Linked DNA regions of Drosophila melanogaster. The protein of the gene in region 3 interacts with the protein of the main gene of each other region in a pairwise test. Each region holds a gene or a part of one and is shown on either strand. Other genes may lie near its edges.

The links.
Region 1: the proteins of CG12307 (region 3) and CG1394 interact in a two-hybrid assay, tested with the Drosophila melanogaster proteins (one large-scale study listed by BioGRID).
Region 2: the proteins of CG12307 (region 3) and CG33695 interact in a two-hybrid assay, tested with the Drosophila melanogaster proteins (one large-scale study listed by BioGRID).

Annotation. Positions count from the first base shown.
Region 1 is NC_004354.4:11,167,939-11,173,570, forward strand, and holds CG1394 (uncharacterized protein), read right to left. Parts: upstream 2,741-5,632; 5' UTR 2,572-2,740; coding exon 2,068-2,571; 3' UTR 1,873-2,067; downstream 1-1,872. Other genes in the region: Antdh (antennal dehydrogenase), read right to left, coding at 260-436, 516-1,091.
Region 2 is NT_033779.5:11,275,097-11,281,719, reverse strand, and holds CG33695 (uncharacterized protein), read right to left. Parts: upstream 3,700-6,623; 5' UTR 3,608-3,699; coding exon 3,590-3,607; intron 3,570-3,589; exon of another isoform or gene 3,351-3,569; coding exon of another isoform or gene 3,327-3,350; coding exon 3,235-3,326; intron 3,146-3,234; coding exon 3,047-3,145; intron 2,966-3,046; coding exon 2,257-2,965; 3' UTR 1,873-2,256; downstream 1-1,872. Other genes in the region: Ppt2 (Palmitoyl-protein thioesterase 2), read right to left, coding at 50-248, 314-587, 792-899, 962-1,103, 1,205-1,348; cana (CENP-ana), read right to left, coding at 4,385-4,465, 4,524-4,799, 4,864-5,115, 5,172-5,321, 5,383-5,583, 5,645-6,623.
Region 3 is NT_033779.5:11,648,132-11,653,800, forward strand, and holds CG12307 (uncharacterized protein), read right to left. Parts: upstream 3,880-5,669; 5' UTR 3,809-3,879; coding exon 3,260-3,808; 3' UTR 3,200-3,259; downstream 1-3,199. Other genes in the region: CG6614 (uncharacterized protein), read right to left, coding at 1-648; CG4983 (uncharacterized protein), read left to right, coding at 4,524-5,627.

The DNA of each region.
Region 1 (5,632 bases), on a different chromosome or scaffold from region 3:
TATTTATCGCATTCATTGCATGTGTTGTTACTGCTCAAGACAGGGAATTTCAATTTCAAATTTAAGTAAATTAAACCGACTTACTAAATTTAAATTTAAATAGTTTTATTGCAACGTGTATAGCTTAACTGTGAATATTAAACTGTCTACGAAAATTGTGTGAATATGGTGCTTCATATTTTCTGTCACGGCAAAAATATTAAGATGAAGAGGAAAAATACAAAAAAAAAAAAGAACAGAGCTCCTGAAGCTCCTCCGCCTACATGGTCTCGCCAAGTGGCTTGATGATCAGCTCGTGCACCTGGACATGTGGCGGTGTGGCGATGGCGTACAGCACTCCCTGTGCGATGTCCTCGGAGTGGAGCATTCGATCCTTGATGGCCTCCCTAATGCTGTCCGGCACGATCTCCGTGTCCACCACGCCCGGACTGACGCTCTACGTTGGCGGAAAAAGCCAAAAAGGGGTTAGAAAAATGTTCAATCCGAAGAAAGTGGAAAATGGAAAGCGAACCAACCGTAATCTTGATGCGGGTGCCCAGGCCGAAGAACTCCTGGCGATATCCTTCGGCCAGCGCTGTAACTGCATGCTTGCTGGGCGGATAGACGTTCACATCGGGCGCCACGCCCTCCGTGGCCGTCATGGTCTTGTGCCCCAGGATGCTATTGATGAGCACCACATGGCCGTCGAACTTGCGCTCCCGCATGGAACGCACCGCTCGCTGGGTGCACAGCACGATGCCCATGATGTTCGTCTGCAATACCTGCTGCATTACGGCCGGATTCATGTCCACCAGATAGCCGGGTTGCAGGGTGCCGGCATTGTTGACCAGCACATCGATGGCGCCCAACTTTTGGATGATCCAATCGAAGGCCTCGTTTACGGAACTCTCGTTGCCCACGTCGCAGTAGAGGGCAAAAAGTTTGCCGCGCTTCTCCGCCGGCAGCTCCCTCTGCAGCTCCTTGACGCGATCGACACGTCGGGCCAGACCCACCACCGTCATTCCGGCTAGGACCAGATCCTTGGCTATGGCCGATCCGATGCCCGAACTGGCGCCAGTGACGACGGCCACGCGATTCTGCCAGCGTTCCATGATTTTCGATTGCGATTTCAACGATGATTACTCGAATCTCGGCCAGAAGATCCACTTTATATATCGCTGCGATGGTTGCGTGCGCTCTCCAAACGAGTTCTAGCCTAGTACACTGAGAGAAAAGTTCGAGCCAAACAATAGAATAAATATATAATGACTTGGTAACATTACGATTATGCTAAATTCATGTAATTTTAGTATAAATCATCGAATCTTTTTTTAAGAATAATTTCCCAATGGGCATACCCATTTTTTTGTAAGTGCATCTCGTTAGCGTGTTGAGAAATTGCCATCTCATCACTGTGACAATCAGCCACGCCCTGTGATACGACAAAAGGGGCGGCAGGCGTTGTATTTGCATAGTTAGAAACGATGAAACTTGTATTGTTTTTTGTACTTTACAATGCGAATCTCAAGAACATATATTTATACGAAGTGCTCAAGATAATCATACGGTGGAAAATTGGGTCTATTAATCTTATAAATGGTTTGCACCTAGTTATTTAAATTTGATTTGTTTAAACTAAATAGAAAAATCGAAATATTTACAATGTAAGCTTGATTTGTGCTTTAATTATTTGTATAAAAAATAAAACTTCAATATTTGACTGCCGAGTGAAAATAACAATAGTAACCTTTGCCATACATCACATTTTGCCTATTTAGTAATTAGCATATAAAATATATGCGATTTGAGTTTACAACGCTCTTCTCACATTCAATTTGCCGCACGTTAACTCATCTCTGTATTTATTAATGCAATTAACCCACCCACCGATTTGTGCCAACTGATTATTTTCATATCTTATGGATTTATGACATTTATTTTATACATTTTCGCCAAGTACGAGTCGTTTGAGCTGCACAAAACGGACGTTTGGTTCGAAAACTAATTGTGTATGTATATGGCCCATATGCGATTCACTTTAGTCGTTCGGTGAAGATGCTCGTGCTGTCATTGTTCGTGGCATCGATCCTACCAGAAGCCACCCTTGGATGCACTGCCTCCGCCGTAGTTCATGCTCATGTCCATGCCGTTGTAGGCGCAGAAGGCTTCGCCATTGTCGATGCACGGTTCATTTCGTCCGGGTATGTCTCCATATATTGAACGGTCCACGGGTGGCGGCACTATATGCTGGGCTCCTGTAATGGGCATGCCACACGACATGGCACCCGGCATGGCACCCGGCATGGCACCCGACATGGCACCCGGCATGACGCCCGGCATGGCACCCGGCATGGCAGCCGGCATGCCACCGGCTCCTCCGGCGTATGGTAGCATGGAGTGTGCCTGAGCTGCGCCCTGGCTAGGCCAACCTCCTAGTCCGCCGGCTGATCCTAATCCTGGTGCTGCTGCTGTTGCTGATAGTGGTGGTGGAGCGGCTGCTCCAGCGGCAGAGTGCTGCATGAAGTCACCCATCTGCGGATAAACGGGAGCATTCAACGGCTGGCCATTCCAGTACGAAAACGAATTCGACATATTGTGAGTTGCGGTTGAGTAAATCCTAAATACAAATAATTTGGGAAAGTGGTGAAAAAGAAACAGTTTTTCTTTCGATTTTTTTTTTTTTGACCAAATAAAAGTTGTACAAAATTTTGCTCCGCTGAACGGTGTTTACTGTTTGGGATCTAAAATATAACTGATAATCTGGAGCTCCGGCTGGGGTACCTCGATTTTTCGGCTTGACATTTAATTTCATGGATATGTTGATTGGAAATTTTTGGAAATTTTTTTTCGACCGATTGCAGTTGGCCATGAAAATACATACGATATTAAATTGATTGTTTTACCTTGGCACATATTTTAGGTTTAGCTCTTCCATAAAATGCCTAAGAGTAAATATATTTTCTAAATATTTTGAATAGCAAATTATAAGTTACCATAGTATATATGTACATCATCGTAAAATATTTGATTTATTAACCTGACATAAGATTGTTCATAAAGGTTTTTGTGCTTCTAATTCAGGTCATTCCGTGTTATTTAGCATACAATTTTATATTGTGATAAATGACATTTCTTTTTATTTTCATTTCATCTTTTTGCTCTTGAGTCTTGATTCCTATTTCTATGATTTTTTTTTTTTGGTTTAGCCTTGTCGGAAAATGGGGGCGGTGGGCGACCGAGGGGCGTGGCATGGCCAGCGTTGTGTTTAATTTTTGAAAAAGGACGCCAACTGTCGTGATGCAGCACAGATGATAATGACGAAGACGCGGCAACAAACGTTTATTTACACACTGGGTATTAAATGGGTATTAAAGACTTGGTACCATAAAATAGAAATAAAACATTGTGCATCTAATTACTTTGCTAACTATAAAACAATTATAAAACTGCATTAAATTCGATTAAAGTAATTGAACATTTTGGCAAATATAAGCAATTATATGCTATTTCGTGTTTAACTTTCAACTTGATCTTATAGCCCATCTAACACGTTTTGATTCACACATGATTGGCATTTAAATACGGTATTTTTAAGGTTCTCACCCTCTTGGCCATTCACATTCCACTTGATTCTTGTGCCAAGCATAAAATGCAAAACACTTGAACTGAGTGAAAACGAAGGCGAAAGCAAAATAAGCAACAACAAAATGTCTCATAAACCAACCAGATGCAGTGAAAGAAAATTCATACTAAAAATATATACATATATAACAAATGTACAGTATAAATTATTACTTTATAGTTCTAGTTGACAATAAGGAATTAAATGTTTCAACATTGCGTATGCTTAATATTCAATGCTGATATTGCGTATACGCAACGTTGGCCGCATTTTATTTTTAACTGTGCCTGCGAATATGAAGAATAAGCAGTAAGCTGAGAGAAAAATAAAAGAACGCAACATGGCAGGGTGTTGATAATGATAGCAAAGACAAAGGCCCACGCCTAATGGGACACGGAATGACGACTGAGGGGCGATGATGAGGCGTTGGCCGGATGGCAGGATAGCTGGATGCTTGGATGGTTGGATGGTTGGATGACTGTAAGGCCGGGTGACCATCCGACTGTCATGCCCACGTCCTTGACGCGCTGCAGTGGCGACAACGTAGTTAAATTGCCTGTCCTCGGCCGGCGTCAACATTGTGTCATTGCTAGTATTAAATCAGAGCCAAACAAATGATGATACATAAGTGCGACACAAGTGCGCAAAAAAAAGAAAAAAATATACAAACACAGCGAAGATTAACCGAAATGCTGGGTGGGAAAATTAAAATTACAGCACATAGCTTTGGTGCACTGAAAGAAAAATCCAGCACATTTTAATATTCAAGGTTCTTACTTTAACTATATAGTAGTTAAATTGCAATAAAATTGAAGTTATTTAAACCGATACTATTATTTATGACTACACACTGTGCACTTCTTGTGCAAAGAAATTTGTCTCAATATAAATTATGCTGGAATTCCTCTGGTTTTTCGTGTCTTAAGCGCTGTAAGTGATCAACTGAGTTCATATTTCAACGCCTGACCTTGGGTCATTCCAAATTATGTGATGCCAACTATGCCGGATGGGAGACTGATGGGCCAGGGCAGCTGGGTTGGCGAGCTGGTAACTAGAAAAGGGCAGCGGGTAAAGCGGGAAGACAAAGAGGCCAGTGCATAGCATAGTTCATCAAGTTTGCAAACAAACGCATACCACAGTCGGACTTCAAGGAGGCGAAGCGTCTCGAGGGGGGTGGGGGACTTCGACTTGGGTCAAATATGTTAGCAGTTGCATTCTGTTTTGGCTGGGAACAGCAAACATTCAAGTAGCTGGCAAAGGACAAAGGACCAGCACAGTGAGCCAAAATGACAAAGTAAATATAGTAAGGAAAAAAATTGACTTACAGATTAATTACTAAGTTAATTCGGTCTTTGAGACTATGTATGCAAAGCAGTATTGAATTTATAGCAAGCTTCATAAATTATGGAACTTAACCCATAGATTTATATGACTTCCTCTTAGTAAATCTTCACCACTGTAGCACAGTGTAGTTTTATCGCATTACTACAGCCGGTGGACCACTTTTTCTCTCTCTTTCCATTCACATCTACCTATTTCTTTCTCCGCCTCTGTCTGTTCGCCATGGGTTTCCTCCCATGCCATTAGCAAAAATGGGTAAATAAGCTTAGTTCAACTCTACTTCGAGTGGCGACTTTGGTGGGTGGGAGCGGGATGGCAAATGGCAAATGGCGGGAGCGAGATGGGGATAGTTGCAGGGCAAGTGGCGGGCGGGCGGGTGAAAGTGGTGAGAGCACTTGAAAAAGTGGCAAAATAATTACCGATAACACAAATGCCCAGGCACCGATTCCGAACGGTTGAACTTTTTTCCGTGTGCCCGCCATTTTTCCCGCCCTTTCATCGCAATTTTCGCCCGCCCTTCCACGTGGCTTTTCCTGCTTTTCGCCACCCCCTCCCCCCCCACACCCAACTCTTTCCTCTCTCCTCGCCGATTTCCTTTTTTTTTGTGTTTCGCTTGTAGAACTCTGGCTTACATAAATTCAATTGTGCGCCGCTGCGAGTGTGTTTGTGTTTGGCTGTCAGTGCAGTTAG
Region 2 (6,623 bases), 370 kb from region 3:
TCACAGCCGTTTGATCGCTCAGTATAGTTCAGTAGTTTTGGTTTCTTATTCAGTCCAGATATGGAAATATCACTTCGTGGATGACATCCCTTCGCGTGTGCCAGGCAAGATGATGAACATGGGGTTTGACCACAATGATAAGCTTGCCGGCCTCCTGAAGCGTCCTGATGCCAATGGAGTCGCTGGTGAAAATCGGTCGCCTAATAAATGGAATCACATCCATATTCTCGTCAAAGTAACCAAAGTGGCTGAGGAAATATATACGATTTGTGGTTATTTCACCTTTGATAATATCCGACTAAGTAAACCATACCTCGATTGCCACGGAGTAATCACATCGTCGTTGGGTCCGCCGATCATTACCAACTTATTTAGACGCACCATTCCCATCTTAAAAGATGTGGAGTTGGAGGTCTTCTTCTCATTATTGATCAGTGGCAGGAATTCGCTGTACTTCAGGTAGAGATCCTGCCTCTGCGGATCGTTCCAGTAGCCACCAACCGAGGTGTGCTGTCCCACGCGCGAGTAGAACAATTCGAAGGCTGTCTTGGCCGCCAAGTCGGGAAAGATTAGATGCAAGAAGCTAGCTGAAAATATTACCAAAAAATAAAAACTTGAACCATTGTGATCCCCCTTTGTTTTATAACCCAACTGCGTAATTTTTGAACACAGTTACATAATATATTTGTTTCTTGTAAGCTTTAAAAGAGTTTAGCCCGGAAAAATGTGACGCAGTTATGCATCTATATAAATAGAATTTACTCATTGGTTTAAACTTTGATCTCACTTACTGCCGTATTGCCCCGCCTGTGGCGAGGATAGAGATATAAAGGTCTTCACATTGTGCTCGGGCAGACTTTGGATGGCCGCCCGGGCCAAAAGGCCTCCTTGTGAGTATCCTGAAAAAGGCATAGTATTGGTAACTAAAAGAAAATACTCTAATGAAAATCGGCTGCCTTACCCAGCACAATGATGCCCTCTGGATGCAGTTTGCCCACCTCGTTGAGATAATCCCTAACCTGATCGACCTGTCGCCAGGCGTTCTCCAAGCTGTACCATCCATTGAACTTGTCGCAGTTGTAGACGATAGTGCCAGGATGAAACTACAAACGGACGAAATGAGTTTATCAGTGCTACTGCGTTGTTTGCGTCAAATTCGACCTTGCCACTGTAAACAATAACAAAGGGGAATCGAAAAACAAACCTCTTCGATTTCCCGGACCAGAGAGGCCATCGATTCGGCTCCTGATAGAATTCCATGGAGTATGACCACCGGTTTGTAGGCCAGTGAGACGGAAATGGACGAGCAGGTTAACAGGGCCACCAGGACTTGCAAACGAAGTCTCATTTTGTGGGGAACAATGGATTTCCGACTGTTGTTGTTGATGTATCCGTATCTTTATTAGCCGCTCTTCTTCTTGCTACCCGCTTTGGAAATTCTGAAAGTGCGGATTTGAAATCCGACATGCGAATGGCAATGTATGGGTTGCGAGCGCAATTATGAGCAGAACGAAATTTGAAAATGCATTCGAAATTTCTCGAGACTTCATTGTACAATAATTGGATGAATTTAAAATACGTGGTGTGCATTTAAAAGGAAAGGTTTATAAAATAGGTCCCATAAATTGGATGGGTACATTCAAATAAAGATAAAATGCAATATAATTTAGCGGACCATTAGAAACACAATTGAGTTTGCATTGGGTGCTTTAAAAATATAATTATATATATGCTTTTATAATACAGTCTGATCAAAATAAAAGTATGAAGTACAAATTACAGCAATGAGATTGTAGAAGCCATTGCAAATAACTAAATTTCTACGCTCCTTGGGCTTTCCTAACTCCAATAAAATCCCAGAGATCGCCGAATCTTAAAATAATGCTCGTTTATTCACTCTCAACTTACACGATCGTCGTTATGTACTTTGCACTATTGTGTCTTGCGTAAATTTAAGTCTAGGCGGCGCATATACGCTCCGCAATTAATATCTACGCTCTGTGGCTGGCGATCCACAGACTCGTCCTCCACATCGCACAATTCATTTGTCATCCGGGGCCCGGAACAAGGTGATTTCAGGGTATATCAAATATGACAACACTTAACAGTTTAGACTTAGGGCTAGGGCGGCATCTCAACCTTTTTGCTTAAGAGTTCTCGATCTGGATTTGTAGCGGTTCTGTTCCAAGTTACGTGATTCGTTCTGCGGCCGGAGATCTAGTAGAAGAAGTCCAGCCCGTTCCGAGGGCTCGAACCTCACCCGGCCACCTCCTCGCTGACAAAATCCAGCTTGACCACCTCTGCGGGCAGGCACTCCTCCACGTCCACCTCGTTCTCCTGGACATTGATGCGATTGAGGGTCATGGACACGTCTGGTCCGCACTTTAAGCCTGCTGGCGCCCCTGCTGGCGATCCTACTGTCGCCGCTGCCGCTGGAGGATTGGAGGTGCTAACCACATCGTCGGCAATCACCACCGTGGGCGAGAGTACTGTTGGAACAGTGGACACTGCCGACACAACGGGCACCACGATCTGCGTCGACGAGCAGGTGGACACCATATGTGGCTGCTGCACCACTGTCGCCGTAGTCGAAGTGGGCTGCTGGATAATGATGTTCTCCGTGATGGTGGGCGTGTTGTTGGCCGTCGAGGCTGCAGCCTGGGCTGCCGCTAATGCCGCAGCCTTCTGCATCTGCTGGTACTGCTTAACAGTCACCGTCGTGCCCGTCGTAGTTGTATTAGACTGTGGATGCAGGATGATCTGCTTTGGCTGCGCCACCAGCTGTACGTGCTGCACGATTGGCTGTGACTTGAATACTTGAGGAGGTGGCTGCTGAAGGGGCTGCTGCGGCTGCTGTTGTGGCAGCGTCTGGAGAACGTGTTGCACCTGCTGGACGGGCACTTGCTTGGCGGGAATGCCGGCGTCCTCGAAGGCCTTCTTCTTCAGCGCCTGGCGGATCTGAGAACTGCAATGGGGAAGGTCAATTAAAACTAGCACGTACACACTGGGCAGCCGGTTCCCTCGCCAGGAGCACAGGATCACTTACACGGTGCGGTTCTTGATGCTTAGGCTGATCTTGGTCAGGTCGTCGGAGAAGCGCATTATGGACGAGTGCAGCATGTCGATCTCCTCGTCCGTCCACTTCCTGCAGCCGTGGCGAGGGAACAAGGCACACAGAAACACTCCGATTAGTGTCCACAAAACTCGCGACTCCACCGCATAGAATCAACTTACCCCGATGGCGACTCCGCATTGGGATGCAGCTGCATGGTTAGATCGCCCAGTCTGCTGAACGCCTGTCCGGCGGCCGTGAATATCTCCCCCACCTGCAAGTGCATGCGGATTTGCATCCGGAGTCAGTTTGTTGTTACCGCGTGCAAATTCAAAACAAACGCACCGCCCCTGCCCACCGCCCGCCGGCCCACTCACGGTGGAACAACAAATTTCCCACTCGCAGGAGTGAGACAAACGAATGACTCTCGACTCTCTCCCGCGCCGCCTTTTTCTCGCTTGCAACGCGCGGAGGCGCTGGCGACGGGATCAACGCGGTCGGAGCTGCCGGCGGATGTGGTGGAGCGGCTGAACCTACCTTGATTGCCGAGTTCATGGCCTTTTTTCGCGGGGCGCTGTTTTTTTGTCGTAATTTTACGTAGTTTTGCGTCCGCAGCTATTCAACACTGACGCCGTACACAACACTCAAGCGGCCGTCAATTTTCCAATGCACAACACTAGAATATGTATTTGCGCTACTATCGACTTATCGATTGGTGCAATCGGGAATTCAAACAAGAAGCGTTATGCTTATTTAGATTTACATTTAAGTAATTTATGTCTTTTATTATTAGAACCAGCAACTTATGCGAATCTGATTTTAACATTAAGAAAATGTAAATAGTTTATTCAATGCTATACATATGAACCAAATATTATTACACATGATGAAGGAAACATTTCTTAATTAACAATATTTAACTATTTATCGAATTTAACTATTAAACAAAAACCAGCATAATACAGATTTAAATTTAAATACTACGATCACGATTGTTTTTGTAATTTTTGTATTGATAGTATTTGACAAATACTTAGGGCGTAAATATAAATAGAAAACTTTATGATGTGGAATTCCACCGTTTGCAAGATAACACCTAACAAAAGAAATCCCTAATACTTGGATAACATTAATCATCTTTTTTATCATCGTTGAACTCAACGTTTTGCCTCCAGTCCGAACTCAGTCTTTGTTTGCAGCTCCGCTGCTCGCAGTGGCAATTGCCACCTGCAATATTAGTTAAAACCACATAAAGTTTAGACGATTTCGCGGCCAAGCAAACCTTAACTTACCTAAAGGAACGGTCGTAGTTCCGCCGTCACGTAAGTCGTTTCAGCAAAACTGCTTACGGTTCTCATCGTAGGCCGTCATCCGTCGATTCTTCCGCTCCGCAGTCTCTAGGCTGCTGGATTTCTTTACGAGAGAAATAAAAAAAATATTACATGCTTGAAATTTAGAAGATCATACGTACCTTTGGCACACATTCAGCGGAATTGCAGTCCAGGGGCTTCTTTGTTGCTGGAACAGCTGCAGGAGTCGGCGATCCATTCGAGGAATTCAACTCAATGGACACATCGCCTCCGTTCACTTTTTGCGTGTGTAAAGCCGGCAGTTCGCGCTTTAGCTTAGCCAGGAGCTCGGTGACTGTGCACAACTTCTCCTCAAGATTACGCTTGTCTTCTAACAGGCTAGAGATGGTGCCGTCCATGCGTTCCTTCTCCGATCGAAAGTTGATTTCCCTGGTTTTCTAGGCGATTTAAAGAGAAAACATTAAGCTATTTTATAAGAGCCTTTGATTGCAATTATTCTACCAGAGTTGATCGTAGTTCTTCGTACTCCCTCGTACGTTTATCAACCTTCTGTTCCATCTCGAGGCTTCTTTTATTGGCCGCTTCTATGGCTAAACTTTGCTTAATCCATGCCTTTCGCAGTGATGTAAAGGCGGTTTCATTGGATTTCAACTGGGCGTCAAGTAGTGCGTTTTTCCCATTCTTCTCATTAATAACAGTCAGCCTTTCCTCTAACTCTTGTTTATTCTGTTGCAGTATAAGTTCCTTTGATTCCTAAATAAATATTTCATTAGCGACCGAATAACCTACAAAGACAAGTCTAATATTACCAATGTTGAACGGAGCTTTTCGCAATCCTCTTTGAGCGCCTTGTTACCCGAACTCAACTTTTCCTCCATCTTGCGGTTTTCCTCCTTTAGATTAGAAATTGTTTCATCCAACAGTTGCTTTTGCGTTTGGAAATATTCTTCTTTGGATTGCTGAAAAATTTTAATTACCTATATTGTAATCAACCAGATAGATTACCAGATTAATTATTACCAGATCGGAACGTAAGCTCTTGCACTCTTTTGTGAGATCGTGAAGATTCTTCTTCATTTCGAGATTTAAATTATTTGCTGCTGTTATGTCTGATAGATAATTTTTCGAGGTTTCTAGCAATTGCTCATTATGCAACCGAAGATCGGATATAGTCAAGTTCAAAGTTTCCCTTTCTTTTAGGAAATCATTAGTTTGAGCTTCCTGGTATAGAATAAAATATAATAGAATACAAAAGTGAAGGCGTTAAATAAATAAAACTTACCAGATCGGATCGTATATTTTCGCAATCCTTGGTCACTTCGCCAAGCTCCTTGGATCGGCGATCGATTTCTACTTTCTTGGCTCGAAGCTGCTCTTCGAGATCGAGTTTGGTTTGTTCCAGTTTGTCAAAATCTTCTCGTAGAGAGGAATTGAGCTTTCGCTCCTTATCCACCATGTTCTGTAGTTCCTGAGCATCTTTTAGCTTTCTTTTAAGCTCTTCATTTCTAGACTCTAGATGGTCTCTTACTTCTTGCAGAGATTTTAGTTTAATCTGAAGCTCGTCTACTGAACCCTTAATATCAGCAATCTTTTGTTTAAACTGACCTTCCTGGGCAGACATATTTTCCTGTACTGCTTTAAGACTATTTTCCAGGCCTACTTTTGCTTCTCTCACTGTTTTATTTTCATCAATGGCGTCCTTGAGCTCAGAGCGAAGCTGTTTAATCTCTGAATCTCGGCCGGAAATTCCTTCTTGTAAAGCAAGCTGTTCAGCATGCAAACGCTCCACTTTCTTCTGCAGATTTTCCGACAACTTATTTGAATCCGAAAGACAGCCTTTTAGCCGCTCGTACTCGCACACCAGCTTATCGTAGGCATGAAGCCTGAGCTGGGCACAGTGCAGAGCTTCTTTGATATCTGCCTCCTTGGACTTGAAAGTCTCCAGCTTTTCTGCAATTTCACACCTCTCCAACTCCTTTTGAGTGGTTAGTGTAATCATTTCCGCTTCGATTTCCTCAAGTTTTTTTATGGTATTCGAGTGCTGTCCGTTGATTTTCTGGATCTCCGATAGCAGTTCTGCTTTCTCGCCCCTCAACAGCTCCAAATCCTGAACATATTGATCGCACTTCTTTTGCAGGTCATCGATGTTCTCGTTCGACGAGCCTGGCAGCAAATCCGAACTTTTCTGGTCGGCAGTGCATTGCAGTTGTTCTAGCTCCAACATGCTTTTGTCGTACAGCTTCTTAAGTTGGCATTTTTCC
Region 3 (5,669 bases):
TAGAAGATCGCAGTGGCCACGGGATAGGAGTTCCAGTCGCTCCTCCGAAAAGGTACCTCCCTCACCTTCCTCTCCACCTTCCTCACCATCACGTTCGGATGACCACTTACTTGATCTCTCCTTTAGAACATTTTCTTTACTCTCCAAGGCATCTGTGATTAATTGATTTATTTCACGCGAAGAGGATGTGCGTCCATGCTTCCTTGACTTCCCTTTCCCAGATCCTCCCTTGCGGCGCCTGGGAATCCTTTGATAGAGGGATATCAACAGCGGCTGATCGCTAAACGTGTTCATGTCCTCGATATCGTCCTGCATCACACCCATTGCAAATACGGGCTTCTTCAGATTGAACTCATGCTGATAGATTATGGTATCTGTCGTGTAGCGCTCCTGCATCTTCTGCAGTGTGTTCTTCGGATGGTAGAGGTGCAGCTCCAGAGGATTCCCCGTTTCGGGTAGCTTGCTCATTTCGTTCAGCTGGATGTAGAGGAAGACCCGTTGCTGTGGGGCCTGCCTCTGGTCCAAAGGAATCTCCACCGTTCGCTGCTCGACAGCCTTGTTCCTGCTAATCTCGTTACCTCCTGCTGAGCGCCTCCGTTTTGTGAGCCGAGCAGTTCGACGGAGGGTGTTTCGGATCTTTCTATCCATTGTGAATTGAAATAAAGGTGTGCTACAGAAAACTGGTTTTATCTTTAGATCGAGCTCAGCAGCTGTTGACAGCCGAAGCGCTGATTTCTCAGTTTTTAAGAAGTCCCAATACATACACAAGTGTTTGCAACCACACAAATCCTATCATTTTTCAGTCACACGCAGAGAATAGAGCATTTTGACGGCCAGAACTAATTCAAAATGTTGGAATGCGGTTACACATATCACATATTTAAATTTAAGAAAAACAGCCTGGGATACCTCCTTCACATTTAAAATGCGTATCCAATTCTCAGACATTCACCCAAACCATGCAGAAGTTGAAGAGGTTACTTAGCCGCCTTCGAAGACTCTCATCTGCGTATCTTTTATTCAAAAGGAAAAAATGTTTTATGTATTCTGATGCCGACGCCGCGGGATTCTAAACAATAAACACTTCAACAAGTCGCCTGCTCGTTTCCATTCGCCCTCGCAAAATTCCGAACGGTCTGGCCTAAAAAATCGTATGGCATTTCGACGGGAATGGCGGGGGCTGTGTGGGTTTTATTACTCCCAGACATATAAGTTTTATTAGACACGGTAGGGTCGTAAACCAAATTTCGGCAAAGTGTCAAGAAGCAACATGAACAGGTTGAGAATTAAGCTCGCCAAGTTTTCATTGGTAGATCTAATTTAATCAGTCATCGCTTTGAATTAGGAGAATTCTTAGAATTTACCCAGGGCATGGAAACACTTATTCCGCACATTTCTCTACTGCTTTATCCACACAAAAGCCAAAACAATTAAACATCAAGCTTCCAGTTGGCAATTAATGAATGCGAAAGAGAGACGAAGCGTAAATTGATTTAAATGCGCAGAACTGAAGCCAAAAGAAAGTCAATTTATTTAATTTTGTTTTATGTCTCGCTGCTCCAGTGACTTTGCAGTTGATAGTTGTCGGTTTTGTGGCGCTTTTTGTTGGTTGCCATTTTTTTTTTTTTTTATTGTTTTAGCGAAACGGTCAAAGTCAGTCCAAATGCATTTTTAAATTAAACTTTTACGTCAACTTTTCGCATAAATGTGCGCACACGCAAAGGCAAGGACAAGAACAAAAAAAAATGAAATAAAATAAGAGAACAAAAATTAACTCTTGACCTGCGGGCTGGCAGCAACAAAAAATTCCAGCTACTGCAACTATATAAAAATATTGCACATTTATACAAGCCAGGCGGCTTTTTTTTCGAAGGCGGCGGATTGCGTTGCGTAAACTTATGCCATATATTGCATTTATAACTGGCTCGACGTTCCGAATATTAATATTATTTTTTAAATGTGGGTCACTGCGAATTTGCATAGCGCACTTTTCGGCCAGCAGAGTCCTTTTGCACCCAAGATCGTGTGTGCAAATTCCTTGGCTTTGCCTTCGACTTCATGGCTTCGACTTCGTGGCTTCCTGCATTTATGGCATCGTCAAAGGAGGCGAACTTAAAATGCAGCGCTTGCAACTTTAATATAACTTAATCCTTTTGCGGCTCCTGTGTGTGTGTGTGTGTGTGTAACTTACGAATTATGGCGTTAATACCACTATGTGCTTAAGAGTCCGCTGTCCCTGTGTTTGTGCTGTGTGTGTGTGTGTATGTGCATGTTTGAGCTCGTGTTACTTTAGCAAGTTGACTTTTGGGATCATCATTAGAGAGCGGAGTGGGTATGTGTCAGTGTTTGCCAACATGCAGCTTGCGGTTTGAGTTTTCTCTTTAGCACAATCCCGATGACGTCAGAAGCTTAGCATCGAAGGCACGCCACAAAGAAAGTTATTTATGGAAATAATGTTAATTATCACAGTAAGCAGGAAAGTTGATTCCATAGTAACGTCCATTGCGATGGCATTAATTTGCTGAAATCCTAAACTTTGCTGGCATTTATTTGTGGTTAAATAATAAGGTATGCCGTAGAATAAATAATATAGCATAACCGATGCATCCCTTTCCATCTCCACCCTCAAGCTATAAGCAATGTGAAAGCGGAAATGTCAGTTCACTAATATCTTCGATTAATTTAAAGCCTAGCAAATTCTGATAAATATATAAATCCACGATTTAATATTTTAATGGCATTAGACACTTCTCATAAAACTACCATCACAACAGTCGCTGAATGCCAGTGAAAAAATCGGAAGCCACTAGAAAACCAGTTACAACCCTTTTGCCACACATGCTCCCCCCTATCCACTGATACCACCGGCAGCTCTGCATCAATAGGCAAATGGGTGGTGGTGCTGGGAATCCACTTTCAGTGGCACATGTATGCTGGAACGATTCGACAAAATGCTGAAAACGGAATTTGCAAAATGTCACGTCTGACGTTCGCTGGCAACTAAGACGGAAATTTACCACTAAATGACGACCAACCCCCGAAACGAGGTGCCACTGATACGAGGGGCAACCTCAGAGCTCGATGAAGTGCAAAATGGAAGCCCAGACGAGTAACTGCCATTATGGGGAACTTCTTCAAGAGAGATGAATACTTTTACAGTAGTCATGCAGTACGTACATTGATTGAAACAAATTCGAATAAATCAATCCACATTTAATTTCATTAATTGTTTTGGACAATGTTACAGAGGATAAAGGACTCAATCGGTAAGACTCCAGCCAAAGGTATACGGCTTGTTGGCATCCATTGGCTGCATCATGGCATAGCCGTCCCAGCCGCAGGAATCACCACCCGCATTCGTTGGCAGGTTGTAGTAGCCGCAAGGACTGCCCATGGAGGTTTGCATTTGCTGGCGCTGTAAAATCTGCGCCTGCAACGGTTGCATCATCGCGAGATTGTTAGACGGCGAGTGCTGCTGCACCATGACTGGGCCAGGACAACTCACAGAGCTCTGTTGGCTTGGCTTGGACATGTATGAGGGCGCAGGATACCGGGTCTCCATTCGTTGATATATAGGTTGTTGGACAATGGACTTGGGGCAGTTGGTATGTGGCGCCTGTGGCTGTACCTGCTGCATCTGCATGCGCTGTTGCATTGCTGCCTGATGAGCACCTAAGGGTGGCTGTATTGGCTTTCCGTCCACCAATACCGGATAAACTTTCCCGCCAAAGACGAGCCCGCTGCCATAGGTGACCATGCCATTCTGTGGCACTTGCGGTGAACTGTCTTGCACAGTTGAGTTTTTCATTGTAATGGTGTCTCTTTTTTTTTATTAGAATTTTCTAATTCGAATTTCAGCAACCGCACTCCTAAAAGTTGATCAAAATACTGACGAGAGATTTAGATAGATCTGACAACAGAATCTCAGCACTCGCTTGAAAATCCCTCGGCCTGCTAATTAATGTGGCTTAACTCTGAGCAACCACCCTATATTTGCAAGAAAGAAAAACTCAGAGGATTTTCGACCTTATCATCACGTACACTCCGAATTGATAAACTTTGTCAGCTCTCTAGGAAGCGGGAGTCATTTTTAATTAAGCCGAGAGTAGAACTTGAAGAAGGCACCCGAGATTGTCAGAGATAAAAAGAAAAACAAGAAAGGGATAACCAAGATTACTTGAATGTAAAATAACAATGTGAATTCATGTGGCCACACCAATTATGTATACACAAATAACAGAGAAAGAACCTAAAACAGAGTGATTGCCTTAATGGAATTGTTCAAGACTAGTATAAACTGATTTTTGTGTCAGTTCGTTTGAGATGCCTTAATCGAAAAGCCAATCAAAAATTAGAAAAAAATAGTTTGGCTTTCCGACACAAACACAAGAAATTACCACATCCTGGCCCATACCTTCTAAAATTTAATCCGAATCAGGTAAGTTTTTGTGGGTTCTGGGTGTTTAAGAGGTTAAGGTCAAACACGTAGGTCCCACAGGAAATTGCCAACCTGTCTACCCAACATGTTTCCTGATGACTTCGACGTAGAACCCTTCAATCCATTCAATGTGGGACCACCCAATAGTGGAGCCCGATCTGAATTCAAAATACCTACATGCGTTACGTATCCGCCACCGGTATTCGTACCCAAGTCCGAATATGTACAACCATCAGAGGAGTTGGTTTCCCGGAAGAGCAACCAAAGTATAGGCAAGTCGACTATCGGCGAGGTGGACATTTCCAAGGCCATCAATGAAGAGATGGCCGTGGCCAAGAAGCAGGCCGAAGTTCTCAATGAAAAAGATCGCATTGATGCGGGTGGTGTTTCAACAACGAAGCTGTCCAAGGTATCTCAATCAAAGGAAGCGGTTTCAAAGGACTCTTTGCGCACCCTAATGCCAATAAGGTCAAACCGTCAGGTCAGTGGTGATGGTAGAGCAAATTCCAAATTATCCATATCACAATTCAGTGCGGCATCCAAGACGAGCTGCACAAATAAGCAAAGTGAGGGTGACGTGGCCTCAAAGTCTTCGAACATAACATTGAAACGATCTGCAATAGGCAACAGTATTTCCTCAAATACCACCCTCACTCCGAAGTCAATTTTGAAGTCGAAACATTTCTCAGAAGCAGCCAAAGCTTCCTCTACCACAATGAAATCAAAAGTTTCAAATAAGCCATCAGAAACTGGAACGCAGCGCTCCTTCAAATTAAATCCTGCTGACTCAGACTCGAAACAATCTCTAAAATCTGCAAAACCAAAGCATTCCGATTTTAAAATGCAAGATAAGAAGCTGACCAGTTCTCAAGAACAAGCCCCGTCTGTTGTTGCCACAAGTAATGCAAGGCAAGACTCTTGGAATGATCGTGTCCCTTCAAAGACCAACAAGTCAAATGTACTACCTGAATCCAAGGATGGCCCCAGCTATATTCATTCGGAAGCAGCTTTATCCTACAGACAGTCCTTGAACCAGCAGGCTGCCGAAATGGCGGATCGCCTAAACGCCGGAAATGAAAACTTTAGGCGTTACAACTCCGTGGCACGGAATCACTCGATCAAAGTACCTCAAAAACTTACCGATGGGGATCGTATGACATTTTGGTTCAGCGATGCTGTACTTTCCTAGAAACACATTTCCTTGACAAACAAATTCTTAGTTCATATTTAC